4 linked regions of the Saccharomyces cerevisiae S288C genome follow. The gene in region 2 interacts genetically with the main gene of each other region. Each region holds a gene or a part of one and is shown on either strand. Other genes may lie near its edges.

What was found.
Region 1: mutations in BST1 (region 2) and BIG1 together harm fitness more than expected from each alone (negative genetic interaction), as found in Saccharomyces cerevisiae (3 studies listed by BioGRID).
Region 3: mutations in BST1 (region 2) and PMT4 together harm fitness more than expected from each alone (negative genetic interaction), as found in Saccharomyces cerevisiae (3 studies listed by BioGRID).
Region 4: mutations in BST1 (region 2) and KEX1 together harm fitness more than expected from each alone (negative genetic interaction), as found in Saccharomyces cerevisiae (5 studies listed by BioGRID).

The regions. Positions count from the first base shown.
Region 1 is NC_001140.6:314,319-317,964, forward strand, and holds BIG1 (Big1p), read right to left. Parts: upstream 1,651-3,646; coding exon 1,541-1,650; intron 1,454-1,540; coding exon 556-1,453; downstream 1-555. Other genes in the region: GEP4 (phosphatidylglycerophosphatase), read right to left, coding at 1-355; putative serine/threonine protein kinase KIC1, read left to right, coding at 2,254-3,646. UniProt on the Saccharomyces cerevisiae protein: Required for normal beta-1,6-glucan synthesis.
Region 2 is NC_001138.5:83,589-89,067, forward strand, and holds BST1 (Bst1p), read right to left. Parts: upstream 3,647-5,479; coding exon 557-3,646; downstream 1-556. Other genes in the region: alpha-factor pheromone receptor STE2, read left to right, coding at 1-287; EPL1 (Epl1p), read right to left, coding at 4,259-5,479.
Region 3 is NC_001142.9:697,765-702,132, forward strand, and holds PMT4 (dolichyl-phosphate-mannose-protein mannosyltransferase), read right to left. Parts: upstream 2,851-4,368; coding exon 562-2,850; downstream 1-561. Other genes in the region: YJR142W (uncharacterized protein), read left to right, coding at 1-405; MGM101 (Mgm101p), read left to right, coding at 3,118-3,927; 40S ribosomal protein eS4 RPS4A, read right to left, coding at 4,263-4,368. UniProt on the Saccharomyces cerevisiae protein: Protein O-mannosyltransferase involved in O-glycosylation which is essential for cell wall rigidity. Forms a homodimeric complex to transfer mannose from Dol-P-mannose to Ser or Thr residues on proteins.
Region 4 is NC_001139.9:111,929-116,584, reverse strand, and holds KEX1 (serine-type carboxypeptidase), read left to right. Parts: upstream 1-1,920; coding exon 1,921-4,110; downstream 4,111-4,656. Other genes in the region: ARO8 (bifunctional 2-aminoadipate transaminase/aromatic-amino-acid:2-oxoglutarate transaminase), read right to left, coding at 1-526; YGL204C (uncharacterized protein), read left to right, coding at 4,580-4,656.

The sequences.
Region 1 (3,646 bases), on a different chromosome or scaffold from region 2:
TGTGACAACCTGGTTTCTTTGTAGAGTGCCGCAAAACAGGTATACCTGTCTTATCTTCCAAAAGTTTTGCTTGCGAATAGTCCTTATCAGAATTGGAACCGGCGGTATTGCTAACAATCAAGAGTGCTTTGTTAGAGTATTTCGACCTTAAGGTTTCCCAGTGTTGCAAGTAATCTGGCCATATTTTGTCATCATGAGGGAAGGCGATGCAGTTGTCCTTATCCAAGACCACGGCCTTTATAGAATCGTGGATTGGTATAGGAAGATCGTTAAAAGTGGGGACAACTAGACTAGGCTTACACAGTGATGGGTTATAAAGCAACCGGAGCGTATTTAAGGTGCCACTGATGTTCATGACTAGGTAGAGGAGACGATGTAATGTAACTGCCGCCTTTCAGTTTGGCCCCATATATATATATATATAAACAGACGGATAATTATATCATATTAAATGCGATAGCATAAATTTCTCGATGCGCATTGGTAAATTGTAGCATGGCGCGAAGTCTCTCATGGATAATTTTGCAAAGAATCGATGTATATAACGAACCATAATCAAGATACTTGCTGGGATGGCTTTTTCTGGATCTCTTGCACTTTTTTGAGCAGTTGTGGTGACGTCTGTTTCACGTTGTCCTTTTTATTAGTAATCTTCTCATCTACAATAGTTTTTTTTGTGAAAAAAAACTGAATAAGAATATACCCAACCAAAATTGTGAAAATCAGCTGTAATAAACCTCTGTTATTCTCAATTAATTGTGAATCAAATATTGAGACATACTCCGAAGGTGGCTCTGAAAATCGTGGAGTATAGTCATTAAACGACAGACGAGGCACATCCAAAACTCTATTATTTTGTTCCACTTCACCCACTCTGGATTTTATGTCAAAGATATCTGGAAATATTTGGATAGGGATGATCGACTCGTGAGCCAGCGTAGTTCCTGGGTTTAACGAGGTGTAAATGACATTTTGTTCTGGCGACGGAATCTGCGCCAGTATAGTCCTCAAATACTTGTCATAATGGCGGAATGCTTCTTTACGTTCATTAGTGTCCTCTGGTAACTTAGGGTACTCTATTATAATCACTCTTTTTTCGCTATCAATAAAGGGCTGGAAATCTTCTGTATTATTACCTCGTAAGTTCAACACCTGGTCTACGTTACAATACTCCTTTACAAACTCTGCAAGATCATAGTATAAATCTTGAGGCAATAGGTCTACCTTTTCGAACTTAATCGCGGTTGAACTCCGTCTTATATATCTCTGTAACGAAACAAACTCTGTTTCAAATTCCAAGAAGTCCAATTTCCTCAGGCCTGGTTGATTAATAAACACATAAGTGTCAGCATTACATACACCTAAGAATTTCTCAGCCGCTTCAATAAAGGTGTCTCTTGGTAAAGTCACAGCCCTATCATAATCCTCTTGATACTTTAAAATACCGGGAGTTCTATCCAAAAGTACAAATATGTGTATAACATCTAGTTAGTAAGAAAAATGAAAGTTACTAAAGATTAATGTTTCTTGTTCTACATACAGTTTGTAAGAGAAGAATATTGCAGGAACATTGGTCTGGTTTTGCAATTCCTCCGAAGCACAAAAGCTTCCACACATAATAAGCAACAAATATTTCAACACAGTTTGCATCTTGCCTTGCTACTCCTAATTAGTATGCGCCTACGTTTCCTAACTACAAAACAGATAGGTATAACCTGCAACTTAACCTCCGCTGCTGATATTCTTGGCCGTAGTTAAGAGAGGTTTACATTACTACAGAGCTAACCCGTGTTGCATGATATCATCGATATAATTAAAGAATGCACATATGTCAGCGGTACTATCGCATACAATGCTCTATCAGAACTCTAGATAACGTTAGAACATATCCTCCCAGGTTTCGCCACATCTGTGGCCTCGTTACTCTATTCGTTTCACTCTTTCTTATCTATTTACAGCCCATCGAGCAACATTATCATGCCACACGTCGATCTCAGGCCGATCTGACAATCTTTAAAGGCATCAACAAGAGCAGCAGCTTGCCGACGTGGCAAAAGTCAAAGAAGAACAGAGGCAACTCGTCCTACGTGAAGCCACATACAACAAGTTAGGAACTATTAGGCGGAACCGCTTTCTAAGGAGCTTACTACTTTTAACAGTACTACTTTTAACAGTACACAGATAAAGAAACAAAAAGTATAAATTTGGGCGCCATCGACTGGCAAGCAAAACACGTATAGAGAACAGGCAGTAATGACGACGAAGCCACAAAATAGTAAGCAGGGTTTAGCCGAAGGAGAGATGGATGTGAGTTCACTTTTCAAGAGAACGGAAGTTATTGGGCGAGGGAAATTTGGTGTGGTTTATAAGGGCTATAACGTGAAGACTGGACGAGTGTATGCTATCAAAGTCTTAAATTTAGATTCTGATTCTGACGAGGTGGAGGATGTGCAGCGAGAAATTCAGTTTTTGGCCTCCTTGAAACAGATTTCCAATATCACGCGGTATTATGGGTCGTATTTGAAAGACACAAGCCTTTGGATCATAATGGAACACTGCGCTGGTGGTTCACTGCGTTCGTTGTTAAGGCCAGGCAAAATCGATGAAAAGTACATTGGGGTTATTATGAGAGAACTGCTTGTAGCATTAAAATGCATTCATAAAGATAACGTCATTCATCGAGATATCAAAGCAGCAAACGTTCTGATCACTAACGAAGGTAATGTTAAACTATGCGATTTTGGTGTCGCTGCACAAGTAAACCAAACTTCTTTACGACGTCAAACTATGGCTGGGACCCCCTACTGGATGGCTCCAGAAGTGATCATGGAAGGCGTTTATTACGACACTAAAGTAGATATATGGTCTTTAGGTATTACAACGTACGAGATTGCCACCGGAAATCCGCCATACTGCGATGTGGAGGCCCTAAGGGCAATGCAACTAATCATCAAATCGAAACCACCGAGGCTTGAGGACAGATCATACAGTACATCTTTGAAAGAATTTATTGCGCTTTGTCTTGATGAGGATCCAAAGGAGAGATTGTCAGCAGACGATCTTTTAAAATCAAAATTTATCAGGGCCCACAAGGCGACGCCAACGTCCATTTTGAAAGAACTAATATCACGATATCTACTATTTAGGGACAAGAATAAAAACAAATATAAAATAGAGGGCAGTATACCGGAAAATGAGCCATCAAAACCCAGTGAAGCTCCAAAACCATCACAAAATGGCGGGGGTGATGAAGCACAAAAGTCAATAGCATCAAATGATAATGAAATTAAGAGAGTGAACGAAGGCGATGTGGAAATGAAATGGGATTTTGATTCATTGAGTTCGTCGGATTATATTATTGAAAATAATATCAACCTCGATGCTTTGGCTGAGGACAACAACGAGTGGGCTACTGCCCAACATGACCTGTTCAACTATGCATACCCTGACGAAGATTCTTATTACTTTGACCCTACAAGTCATAATACTAGACCCTTTGTTTATCAAGGGACAACGATAGGAAAGGGCTATCCTGGTACAATAGCTCAAAATTCTACTTTGAATGCACCAGTAACAAATAACTATACGAACTCAAAATACCCTTCCAAAATGGTAGCTGGAACTACAAACACCTCTGGAACACATA
Region 2 (5,479 bases):
AAAGCAGTCTCAGAAGTAGATTATATGACCTATATCCTAGAAGGAAGGAAACAACATCGGATAAACATTCGGAAAGAACTTTTGTTTCTGAGACTGCAGATGATATAGAGAAAAATCAGTTTTATCAGTTGCCCACACCTACGAGTTCAAAAAATACTAGGATAGGACCGTTTGCTGATGCAAGTTACAAAGAGGGAGAAGTTGAACCCGTCGACATGTACACTCCCGATACGGCAGCTGATGAGGAAGCCAGAAAGTTCTGGACTGAAGATAATAATAATTTATGATCAAAATTTACGGCTTTGAAAAAGTAATTTCGTGACCTTCGGTATAAGGTTACTACTAGATTCAGGTGCTCATCAGATGCACCACATTCTCTATAAAAAAAAATGGTATCTTTCTTATTTGATAATATTTAAACTCCTTTACATAATAAACATCTCGTAAGTAGTGGTAGAAACCACCTTTGCTTTTACGAGTTCAAGCTTTTTTCTTGCCATGATCTAGAACTCTCAGGCAATATATACAGTTAATCTTTTTTTACTGGGTTGTAGTTCTAATGTATTGTTTCGAAAAATAGCAACCAGGCACATATTATGTTCACCAAGTGGTGTATCCAGTACAGATTTCTTATTCCATAAATGAAACTGAAAACGGTTAAGTACACAAATAAAATGATGGTAACTTTACCATCCCACGTGTCTAAAGGTACGCTGTTTGGCATTTTGAAAATAGAATTATTTCCAACCAAAAAAATAATTGGTGCCACTGCTAGTATATTGTGATGGGATCTAAATGAAGTTTCCCATTTGATGGCAACATTATGCAGGAAAACAATAATGATAGGGATGTTAATGGCACTAACAAATAATAAAAGCAGAAGCAACGTCATATTATAATTTAGTAAGTTCAATTTCTGCTCGTTGTTTGATAGTTTCAACAGCGCTACTCTAATGCAGGTAGCAATTTGGATTACTAATGAGATAACAAACGCCATCTGGTATGGTATGTGAAAAAATACCAACAGTAATAAAAGCACAGATGCCATTAATCTTCCCTTACCATACGCTTTATGTTCAATAGTATCAAAAGCCTCTTTATCTTCAGTGTTTTTCTTTGATAACTTCCGTTGAAGGAATATTACTAAAATTTCCAAGGATCCAAAAATCTTAGAAACTAGTGCTAGTAATCCAACTGTCATAACCCCAAAGAGAATTCCAATAGTTGACATAAACCAATCTCTGATCCCCAAATAATAAAAATTTGCATGCATGTTTCTCTCGGATAGCAGAAATGGATAATTTAAACCGACAGGATCCAATAAATAAAGTATTCGTTGTACCAACTTATTATTAACCACAGGCGAAGCTAAGAACAGCGTAAAAAACATTAATATTCCGTGCTTTCTTAAAATATATCCCAAAGTGCTATCAAAGGAAGGAAACTCAGATGTCTTGTTGTACCAGTAGAACTGGTATGACAGTACGAGTGCTATAAACGCGACTGGAAAAGATGCTAGTGCTAATCTGTACCTGATAAACAGCATTTTCAAAGTTAAAGACCAATTAATAGTCATTTTAGCTTCTAAGGACATTCCGGGTGGAATAAAAAAACTTAATTGTAGCGATCTCGGTTCGCTTTCATTTAATGGGATAAACGGTGCTACATTATGCATATTTATATCGAGACTTTTGTTTATAATATTTAGATGCCATTTAGACTCGAAAGGTTCGTAAACCCATTGCCTTATGAAAGGCTGAAACAATGTCTCTTCGGAAGCAATACCTTCGTTGCTTGCCTCAATCTTGGTTTCTAATTTGTACGATAATAAAGAATCCCACAAATTACTGAAACTTATAACCTGCTCGATGTCTTTGCCATCCAAGTGTAGTTGTTCTCCAAAGAGCAATATTTGAGAAGGTGTAGTATTGACTATTTGTACATTGGAGACGTTGCGCAGTAATGCCAAAAGAAACCCCTGATTGTCCTCCATGCCTTCTTGTTCTGAAAATTCACCGTAAGTGGGTTTGCTTATCATCAAGTAGTCGTACTTCTGTAGTATATTCTTGCCAACACTAACGGCTTTAAACGGATTTTTTGCTTCTCCAAAAGAAGAATCAGCTGCGAACTGAGTATCTTTTGAAGACCTGGGCACTGTTAGAATACTATCAACAGCTGTTATACAGCTTAGATTCACCCTGGACTCTGTACAGAAATAGATCATAGGCATATCGAGACTAGTTAATAATGTGAAATGCAGGTGTTCAGTGGAGGAGATGTTACTCGGAATATTTATTTTTGTATAATTGTTGTGCCACTTTTCCAGGTTAAACATTTCAAAATCTAGGACATCGTTCATTTCCAAAGTAGCGTAATCAGAAAAGAAGTTGTCACTAAATTCTTGTAAGTTTTCTTGAGGATAATTTAACTTACTATTCATCCATGAGTAGTCTTCAAACCCTGAAAGCAATAGTTTTCTAGCGATTTGCAATCTCTGATTCAATGGCTTAACTTTTTCAGGTTTGGAGGCATCTATACTTTCCAATAAAAGGCGCGCTAGTACCTCTCTTAATTGCTTGCACCAAACAATGGCTAAATGATCAATTGGAGTCCAAACATCTGGAATAGTAGTTGTGAAGCTGGTGAACCCATTTTCTAAGCTAACCAAATCTTCTACAGATGCATAATCTGCAGGTAAAGTAGTATCCAATATACCGCCTGTAATGGAAACCAATGAAATGTTCTTAGAGAAAAAAGAATCGTTTTGGGATAACTGCTTTCTCCAATATTCGTTTGTATTTTTGTAAAGCTTTAAAATGTCACCATCAAAGGTTACTGGTGAAGCAGCATGAGGTGATGATAAGGTCAATATGGTGCTTATACTTCCCGGTACGTGGTTCTTCAAAGTTAGCATGACCCTGGATACAATACCGCCCATGGAATGTCCCACGATAATAACTGACTGCGGTTTTGGATGTGGGTAATCAGGGGTCCTTTCGTAAAGAGACAAGATGTACTTAATGGCATCATTTAGGTATTCAGCTTGATCAAGCATTGTTTCACCATGAAACGCAGTGAAATCTTCATTGAAATCTGCCGTAAAGAAGTCCAAATTTCGCACATTTTCGTTACGCAGAGTCGCCCTGGTATTGGAATCAAAATATATATTGGAGCAAGCGGAAGCAATCGATCTGCATTGCCTAAAAGAACCTGCATTTCCGGGTATAAAAAGTACAGGGATACCATCAAGTTGTAACTCATCACCATTTAAAGGTTCTCGGTCTACGCTTTGTTCTCGATACAAGTAAAGATGATACTTGTGTGCCAGTGGTGTATACCTCTCGTCAAATCCATCGATCCTTGCGTAAGATGGAAACATATAGATAGATTCACACTGAGGAGCATCTGCACCATTAAAAGGTTTCAGTAGCGATATCAATAAAAGCGAGCAAATGCTTAAAATGCCAAGAATAGAGAAAAGGCGATATGTGTAAGGTTTTTTTGCTATCTTATCATTGTTCATATATTTGGGGGAAGCTTTATCCTGGTCTTCACGCGTAGCGAGTACTCTCGAGTATTGACCAGATGAGTTAACTTTATTAATTATGGGCCGCGTTATAACACTAACTAATCTCCTGATACCCATAACGAAATGAAGATTTTTGTATGATGGTAAGCCTAAGATATAGGCCAATGCTTTAAAGTAGAGGGAGTATTTCGAGTGTGAATTTACTATCAGATGGAACTGCAAGGAATGTGTTGAGACTCATTTTTACTTTTTCTTGTTATGACTTGGTTGGTATATTTAGACCTTTTTCAAAATTCGCGCCATACAGGAAAAAAAAATGGATAATAAGAAGAAATGCATTTATTTGAGGGTACCTAGTGAGTTATGCAATTGTCTATATAAGAGTATGAATCTAACTTAAATACATCAAGCATTTGGGATGAAATCATGCGAAAAATCAAAAGGTCACAACCGTGTGAAATGGAAATTAAAAAAAACGTTAAAAATATGTAGTCTTGTGAAGGTGATAATATTACAGCCGGATGATACTTGCTATTTTTCTTTTGAAATTTATTGTAGTTATCTTTTTTTGTTTTTTGTTTTTTTTCATTATTATTGCGTTATCGGTGTTCATTTCGGTGATTTGAATCTTCAGTAATGTTGCCTCGACTTTCGTAGTAAACTTTGAATGTCAGGTTTGTTAAATGCCAATGCGTAGAAAGATGTTCGAGAGGTACAAAGTTGTGCTGCTCATGATGAATTTTTCTGGGTTATAGAAGAGTTCTGTTTCGCTTCTGAATTGATTAACGAATCATTTAATTTTTTTAGGGAGTTCGAAGAATTTGAATTATTGTTCTGTGATTTCTGCTTTTGTTGTTGTGCTTGCTGCTGTTGCTGCTGCTGCTGTTGTTGTTGCTGTTGTAAATGTTGTATATGCTTTTGTTTCAGTCTGGTGATATAGTCCCTACGATACTTTATGGTGGCTTCCCTTAATTGTTCGTAGGACTTCGTACCCAACATTGTTCCGAATCTAATCACCTGAGTATCATTTGAAATCTGGTTAAGTCTTGCCGGTTCATCTGAAAACTTGATCCCATATTCATTTTGTGGAGAATCATACTTCCACTTGTCGTAAAGTCTGACAAATTCGTCGTATTTGGAATCGTAAACATTAATCGAGTCAGTATCGTTACTACCTTCTCTTGAATATTGTTCTTTTTCGATTGAATCGAAATCTACAAAATCCATTAAAGAACATGCAGACTTGGTCGACGATGTTGTAAAATTTGGCATACGATCAACATACTTAATATTAGATCTACCAACTCTCTTCCTGAATTTTATTGGATACTCTCTCGAATGAATTTCCAAATTTTCTTGGAATGGGTCGTACAGTTCAGTTTTTTTGATTCTTTTGGTATCCAAGTTGTAATTATCTTTGTTTCTCGAACGGCCATTTGAATCATATATTCTGATGTCATCAGATATCCCCTTCAAGTATTCTGGTAAATGTGAAGAATAAAAAGATCTATCTATCTGAAACTTGGATGACGCGATAGATGCAAAGGGAACATTACTAGTCGAAAAATTTTTAGGCAACGACATGTCAAATACAGGATTAAAGGGATCGTCCGTTAAGTTGAAAAAGACATCTGCGTCTTCAATTTTCCGTTTCTCCATCTTTTCCTGAACGAACTTTCTTGCATTTTTTTCTTTGCTGTTCAATAGAGCATCCACGTCTTCCAATACAATGTCAGGAATTTTGGAAGATGGTAGTTTGACATAAACATGAGACGTAATTGGCTGTGATGTTGAAGAAGAGGATGCATTCGCGAGTTGCTTTCCGTTTTCAGTCTTAAGGGCATTTTGCTGTTGTTGTTGTTGTTGCTGTAACAGTTGCTGCTGTTGCTGCTTGGTGAGCCTAGAAGATTTGTCTTCAAGTTGGTTATTCCTTTTATTGTTCTTTGCCTT
Region 3 (4,368 bases), on a different chromosome or scaffold from region 2:
TTGAAAGAAAGCATGGAGGAAGCCAATCTAGAAAAGAGTGTTATTGAGGATAACATTAAAGCAACTGGTTCAGTTTCCTACCTTTACTTTACGGGTGATATTTCTGTAACGAAGTTCAATAAGGAATCAGATTTTATCGTAGGGGAAGTACAATATGTATACGATCTAAAACTCAGCGAAGACATCATTCCAAAACCAAACGATGGTGAAGTCGAGAGTTTCAATTTATTCAGCCTGCAAGAGACGATTAATGCTTTAAGAAAAAAAGAGTTCAAACCAAATTGTGCATTGGTAATGGTAGATTTCTTGATTAGACATGGCTACATCACTCCAGAAAATGAGCCCAATTATCTTGAACTAGTAACTAGAATGCACAGAAGGTTACCATTCCCCACCTTGAATTAACATTCAAGAGGTTACCGGTTGATATCTAAACAAATATAAAGAATTTTTTTCATATATACACATCTAGGTACATACTATCTAAGATCAAAAGTACTCTATTTTGTCACTAAACGGAGGAAGGCGTTCAGTTCGTTTGTGGTTAGTGAACAGAAAAAGTTACTTGGAGAAATTTAATTCTATGTCAAACCACTCTCTAGAAACAACTTCCGATGGTGACAAGCTGACATCTCCATACACTAGTGGTGAAAAGTATACAAAAAACCACGCAACAGCACAGGAGACACACACCAAGAAGACGGTATAGGGTTTAACGTAGACCTTAGGGTTCCGTTCATATGATGCACCTGAAATATCCTCGTCTTTCTCCAAATCCAATGATTTGCAATCACTGAAAATTACTTCCCATAGTGCTCCTGAGAATAAGCACGCGATTAAATGAGCTGGTAAGTAATGATGCAAAAACTTTTGACGCGCCATTAAAAAGAATGGAAAATAATGACAGCACCAGGAGACGAAGAAAAACATCAATGGGCCATACAGCTTTTCTCTGGTCATCTTGTTTAGGGCATAATAGCCACGATGTCTAGTAATTAAATCGGCCACGATAATGCCAACAAAAACAGCCAATGATATGACTTGGAACCACCACCCAATGATGTTACCAATGAAATATATTTGCTTCTTTTCGTCACCGTTGGTCCAGAACGAAACACCACTTAAACTACCGGGCCAACTGTAAGGTTCAGAGGCAAATGGATGCTCTGATGATAGTTTATTGTTATGTTCGAACATAGATTTTTGAGTTTCAATCCATTTCTTCAAGAATGGTAATGGCTTAACAACCTTCGGAATATATACCTTCCGAACCTCGTCCAGGTTAACAATTTCATCAACAACCCAGTTATTTGAAGGATCAATAACTTTTTTGTTACCATTAATTTCTTGTTGTTGGAACCCCCAATCCGGTAACAACTCGTCGTTGTGAGTCCACAAAGCTACGGAGGTATCAACGTGGAAAAGACGGAAAGAAACCGTTTTACTCTTTAAAACGTGACCTTCATCTGATTTTTTCAGTGGTTGGAATGCAAAAAGTGTTTCAGGATATAATTCCCCATCACCTTCTTCTAAAGTTACTGTAGTGATTTCTTCATTGGTAGGGTAAAATGGGGAGGCGACATCATGGGCTAACAAGTAGGTATCGGTGGCTACATGTCTCAATCTTATATGCTGGTTCAATAGAACAGCTTGTCCTTTACCGACATCACTGCCATGGGGTGGTAACACTTCCCATTGATTGTTGAAGTCAGGATGCGTGTAACCAGTAACTTGTTGACCAGCGGATGAGATACGACCATCTTCATACCGTTGTGGGTAACGTGCCAAGTGAGAATGTAAGAATGCGTCAGTATCTTGATGTTTGATAGTGATAATATCAAAATAATTGACGGTTTTAGAGTCAACACTTAAGGGAGAGTCCTTAAGTGTTTCTTGAAATTCAGCAGACATAAATGCGTCGCCAGGACCTGAAGTATTCAAAACGGTGAAATGAACCCAGAACCAAAACAAGTAAATCACAAATGGAATCAAAACTAAACCATTCAGCCTTTTACTAAAATGTCTCATGAACTGCCTCAAGGACAAACCCGCCTTGATGTCCAGTAATTGCCATAAGTTGACCACAGCAGCAAAACCAATAGCGGAATATGTCATAACACCAACATATTTTGTGGAAATCACGAAGGATAAAGACAAACCAGTAGCGTGTAACCAAATATACCAACTCCATGTAAAAGGTTGACGCAATTGGCACTTGTAGAAACGAACGTAACAATACATAGTAGCAGCAATAGAAATAATCAAGATGGCATCCAGTAAAATCAGCCTAGTTTCTGTAACATGCGCAGTATCGATTGCAACCAAGAGAGATGCAAACGCACATGTAATAGCCCTGAAATTCAGTTCCTTCAAAGTGTTGAACATAATTGGTACAGTCAATGTGCCCAATATCGCGTTGAAAGAACGGTACGCGATATATGGAGCTGGATGAGTTTCATAAGAATACCCAATCTCATCAAACTTAAAGGAACCATCATAGCCACATAACCAACCAATGAAGGCAATCATCATCTTAGCAAAAGGGGGATGAACGTCAAAGAAATAAGACCTTTCTAAGTAATACGATGCAAATTTCCCGAAATGTACCTCATCAAAAACAACTTCTTTTGGATACCAGATCTTATAAAATCTAGCAGCAAACGCTAATAAGGTAACAATTGTTACCCAAAAGCTATAACGTGATTCCGGTTCCGGTAGTGGCTGCAAGAGCCAATGTTCAGCAACTTGTTCACATTTAGGCGCGGCCTTCGTGTACTTCAACGAAGGATCGTCTACGTCCTTAGTGGAAGGTGGTAACTTCCCATGGTTACGTTTTTTGGGCACAGACATCTGTACTTCTGTGGACTGTCAGAAAATATCTTGGTAAAATATGTATCGACAAACTTCTTAGTACAGTTAATATAGAAGTAAGGATTCGAGTGAGTAGTTTTGATAAAGCGCGTTTCATTATGCATATTTTTCATTTTTTATTTTTTTTGTCAAGAAATACACGAATAACATCACGAAATTTATCGACAGAATAATGGAAGAAACTATTTAAAAAGACGGTAGAGACTAAAAAAGGAAAGAAAGGACAAGTAGGAAGATCAGCGTACGATGAAAAGCATTTTCAAGGTTAGAGGATGTGTATCGCATGCTGCTCAATTTTGCCAAAAAAGAACCGTGGTGAGTACCGGCACTAGTAACACCGCAACAGCCGGTGCAGTGAGGAAAAGTTTCAACAGTACCGAAACCAAGCCTGTATTTGCAACAAAATCGGAAGCTGGCAATGGAAGCCACATGAAGGAATATTCAAGCGGCATTAACTCTAAACTCGGCGGGACCCCTTTGGAAACCCGCAGCACCGCCGATGATTCTTTGAACAATAGTTATAAGCAAGTCAAGGGAGACATTGACTGGTATACTTCATGGTATGGCCTAGGTATGAAGCCCTTTGAAGCAAAAGTGCAAAAGGATCTAATCGAGCCTCTGGACCCTAAGGATATAGAAATCAAGCCAGATGGTTTGATATACTTGCCTGAAATTAAATACCGTAGAATACTGAACAAAGCTTTTGGCGCAGGCGGTTGGGGGCTAGTGCCAAGATCACAAACAATAGTGACATCCAAGCTGGTCACTAGGGAGTACGGTCTTATTTGCCATGGTCAATTGATCAGTGTGGCAAGAGGCGAACAAGACTATTTCAACGAAGCCGGCATACCAACTGCTACAGAAGGTTGCAAAAGTAATGCATTAATGAGGTGTTGCAAAGATCTCGGCGTCGGTTCTGAATTATGGGACCCTGTTTTCATAAAGAAATTCAAAGTGGATCATTGTACTGAGAAGTTTGTGGAACATGTTACCACCAAGAGAAAGAAGAAAATTTGGTTAAGAAAGGACAGACAAGTTGAATATCCTTATAAATAGTCAATATGCGAACCATATAAGCTAATTTTAGTAAGTATATATATTCCAATACAATCACACACACACACACACACACACACACACACACATACGCATATATTGTGGTAGTGCGTAGTGTCAGTACGTCTTATCATACGCCTTCTATTTCAGGGTTAGCGTATTTTTACTATCAATATTACAATACGGATATATATACACACACCTAATATATATATTATACGTTATATTACTGCCAGTCGAAAAAGGAAGATACGATGTATTATTTTAAAATTCAATTTCTAATAAACATTAATGGAGATATACAAAAGAAGAAAATAATTAAGTTGTTATGAAATTTATAAACCTTGTTGAGCTCTTCTTCTGTCACGTTCTTCAGCAATAGACAACTTGATACCCTTACCCTTTGGCAAAGAAATGTAAGGCTTACCTTGTTCACCGATG
Region 4 (4,656 bases), on a different chromosome or scaffold from region 2:
GAGCCTCTGCAGAAGCCAATGAAGAGGAAAAAGAATGTGCCTCAACTAAGATGACATCACCTCGGTTACAAAAGACTCTTAAAGTAGATTCCCAGGCATTTGTGTTACCTGCAGTGGCTAAAACGTCCCAGTCCTTATACTTCAAATCGTGGATAATCTTGGTATGATCTCTAATGAAGTTTAATAGTTCAGGTTGACCAGCACTGAACCCGTATTGCAAAGCTCTTGACAAAGGAATATCGTTGGAAGGATTGGCACTTTTATCAGCGTAATCTTTGTTGACGGTGTATTTTATGCAATTCTGCTCGTCAATTGGAGCTCCAATACCCTGGGGAAAAGGAGGCTTGGGTGAATCTACAGATAGATTATCCCATGGGAAATAATCTTTTAATGGCAGGCCACCACCCAAAAAGATAATGTTAGGATCTTGGAAAAGATGGATGCAGGTTTTCAATGGGGATGGTTTACGAGCATTGGTTTCATCCGAAAACAAGTAAGAAAAGTCTTTTGATTCAGGTAAAGTCATGATAGTAACGATCGGTTGTCCTATTCAATGTCTGTATCAACTGCAGGGTTTAACTTAGTGGAATGGAAAAATAAGAAAAAGAAATAAGTTCTTAAAGATATAACCAAACCAAATATATAGTCTAGAGATGTGTATAGGAGGGTCTACAAGATAAGAAAAAAGATTGCGATACACATATCTTCAAATGAAATGCGCTTAATATTAGTCATAGATTGGACCTCGAGAAAGTGAAAAAGTGCAGAGTGAAAAATGTGATAAAAAAAGGAAAAAAAGACATCTAAGGTAACCCGGATGTTCTTCATTATTCCGGCGCAATTTAGTACTGTTCTTCTATCAATGGCAATTCAGAAGCCAGATTCTTGAATGAGGTGAAGGAGAACAATGGTTATAGGTTAATTAAGAGATTTTTGGATGGTGTATATGAGCCATGTTTAATCTTGGAAAAATAGTGAACCGGGAAAAAAATAAAGAAGAACTCCTCATAGGGGGCTCGAACCCCTGACATTTCGGTATCCTTGCTTAAGCAAATGCGCTTAAAAGCCGAACGCTCTACCAACTGAGCTAACAAGGATGAGTTCTTCGGATTTCTTCGATAATAGTTTTAGTTAAATATACATTATGTTCACATAATGCTATTATTTAATGCACATGTTAATGGACGGTAAACTACTTATCATTTATTGCAACAAATGAAAAGACACCACCCTAACAGCACGAAAAATGATGTTAATGTCTTGTATAGTATTGTCGGATAACTAACTCTCGTCTCAACAAAGCTTAAATAAGAGCTGAGAGATTGGTGAATTTTAAGATGATTGTAGGCATTTCATTGTTGATCAAGGCTACAATATTATGTATACAGAATATACTAAAAGTTCTCCTCGAGGGTAGAGGAATCCTCAAAGGGGAAGCGATATTTCTACATAATATTATTACGATTATTCCTCATTCCGTTTTATATGTTTCATTATCCTATTACATTATCAATCCTTGCACTTCAGCTTCCTCTAACTTCGATGACAGTTTCTCATACCTTATGTCATCGTCTAACACCGTATATGATAATATACTGGTAGTGTGACTACTAGTTTATAGACGATAGTTGATTTTTATTCCAACAGGATCATTTTGTTAGGTGAGGAATTGCGAGCTTTTTGGCTATAACTTTCAAGTTTTGTCACCAACATTTATATTTGCTTACTGCAGCCCGGAACCGAAAAACAATGTGGAAAAAGAAAAAAAAGTGGAATATTTTGATAATATAGGAAACATTAAGAAAAGCGATTTCTTATCATTGTCTTCAACTCCCATCTATTTGAAAAAGCTTGCTGAAGCATACTTTGGTTAAAGAGTACCTTGGCTATAGAATACCGTAGAGATAAAGACCTGAATAGATGTTTTACAATAGGTGGCTCGGAACGTGGCTAGCCATGTCTGCTTTAATAAGGATCTCAGTATCCCTTCCGTCATCTGAGGAGTACAAAGTGGCATATGAGCTGTTGCCAGGGTTATCTGAAGTGCCAGACCCTTCAAATATTCCACAGATGCATGCTGGCCATATTCCTTTACGTTCCGAAGATGCGGATGAACAGGATAGCTCTGACTTGGAGTACTTTTTTTGGAAGTTTACCAATAACGACTCTAATGGCAATGTCGACCGTCCCTTAATTATATGGTTAAATGGTGGACCCGGTTGCTCTTCCATGGATGGTGCCTTGGTCGAATCCGGCCCTTTTAGGGTGAATTCAGACGGTAAACTTTATCTAAATGAAGGGTCCTGGATATCCAAAGGCGATCTTTTATTTATCGACCAACCTACTGGTACTGGGTTTTCTGTCGAACAAAATAAAGACGAAGGTAAAATCGACAAAAACAAATTTGACGAAGACCTAGAAGATGTGACCAAGCATTTTATGGATTTTCTGGAGAACTATTTCAAGATTTTTCCAGAAGACCTCACTAGGAAAATCATACTATCGGGTGAAAGTTACGCTGGCCAATACATACCATTCTTTGCCAATGCAATTTTGAACCATAACAAATTTTCAAAGATCGACGGGGATACATACGACTTGAAGGCGCTATTGATTGGTAACGGTTGGATTGACCCCAATACACAGTCCCTATCGTACCTTCCGTTTGCTATGGAGAAGAAACTGATTGATGAAAGCAACCCCAATTTCAAACACTTAACGAACGCACACGAGAATTGCCAGAATCTGATAAACTCTGCCAGTACAGATGAGGCAGCCCATTTTTCGTATCAGGAATGTGAGAATATTTTAAACCTTCTATTGTCTTATACCAGGGAATCTTCGCAAAAGGGAACAGCGGATTGCTTGAACATGTATAACTTCAATTTAAAAGATAGTTATCCATCTTGTGGTATGAATTGGCCGAAAGATATTTCCTTTGTCAGTAAATTCTTCAGCACACCTGGTGTTATTGATTCGTTGCATCTTGATTCTGATAAAATTGATCATTGGAAGGAATGCACTAATAGCGTTGGAACTAAATTGTCTAATCCTATTTCAAAGCCATCTATCCATTTATTACCTGGTCTACTTGAAAGTGGAATAGAGATTGTCTTGTTCAATGGTGACAAAGACTTGATTTGTAATAACAAGGGCGTATTAGATACTATAGACAATCTAAAATGGGGTGGAATAAAGGGATTTAGCGACGATGCTGTTTCGTTCGATTGGATCCATAAATCGAAGAGTACAGACGACAGCGAAGAATTTAGCGGATACGTGAAGTATGATAGAAATTTGACGTTTGTTAGCGTTTATAATGCTTCTCACATGGTACCCTTCGATAAAAGTTTAGTGAGTAGAGGCATTGTCGATATTTACTCGAACGATGTTATGATCATTGACAACAATGGGAAAAATGTTATGATTACTACTGACGACGATAGTGATCAAGATGCTACTACTGAAAGCGGTGATAAGCCAAAAGAAAACCTCGAAGAGGAAGAACAGGAAGCGCAGAATGAGGAAGGAAAGGAAAAAGAAGGCAATAAAGATAAAGATGGCGATGATGATAACGACAATGATGACGACGATGAAGACGATCACAACTCCGAGGGCGACGACGATGATGACGATGACGATGATGAAGACGATAATAATGAAAAACAAAGTAATCAAGGCCTCGAGGATAGTAGACATAAATCTTCAGAATATGAACAAGAAGAGGAAGAGGTAGAAGAATTTGCAGAAGAGATTTCAATGTATAAACACAAAGCGGTAGTAGTTACCATCGTTACATTTTTGATAGTGGTTTTAGGAGTTTATGCGTATGATAGAAGAGTGAGGAGAAAAGCGCGTCACACAATTTTAGTTGATCCAAATAATAGACAACATGACAGTCCCAATAAGACAGTTTCATGGGCAGATGATCTGGAAAGCGGACTCGGGGCAGAAGATGATTTAGAACAAGATGAGCAGTTAGAAGGCGGAGCACCCATAAGTAGCACTTCTAACAAAGCAGGATCTAAATTGAAAACTAAGAAAAAGAAGAAGTATACTAGCCTTCCGAACACTGAAATCGATGAATCTTTTGAGATGACTGATTTTTAACTTGGCAAATAAAAATATATAAAAAATACAGAAAAATAGTTATAATACCTCGCACACGCTTTTCGTAGTAACAGCGACATAAAGATAAATTCTTTAAAGGGTACAATCCATCAAGAACTGACTGTTTTATTTAATTCACACTACTGAACTTCATATTAAAGTGTCGTCATTTAAGTCTAGTAGGTTATATTAATCGCGCACAATAGTTTTTTTTTATGCAAACTGTATCACGAATATTTTTTCAGTTTTCGGACCATTTTTTGACATTTTTAACCAGTTTTTAACATTTTTATGGTAGCGTTCTTTTATTTTTCACGTAATTGCATTGAAATAGACATAAACGTATAAAATAATATACAAGTAATTAGAGCTTTTGAACGAGATTGTTTAGTGGTTGTTTTAACTCCTTCACAGAAGTTGAAAACTTCAACGCATTCATAGCCCCACATATCAACACAAATCCCTGGAAATGAATGGAACTGATATCCTTCGTTTTTTGCAATCTTCCCCCACCATTAGTTACAGCAAACATTTTATACTTATAAC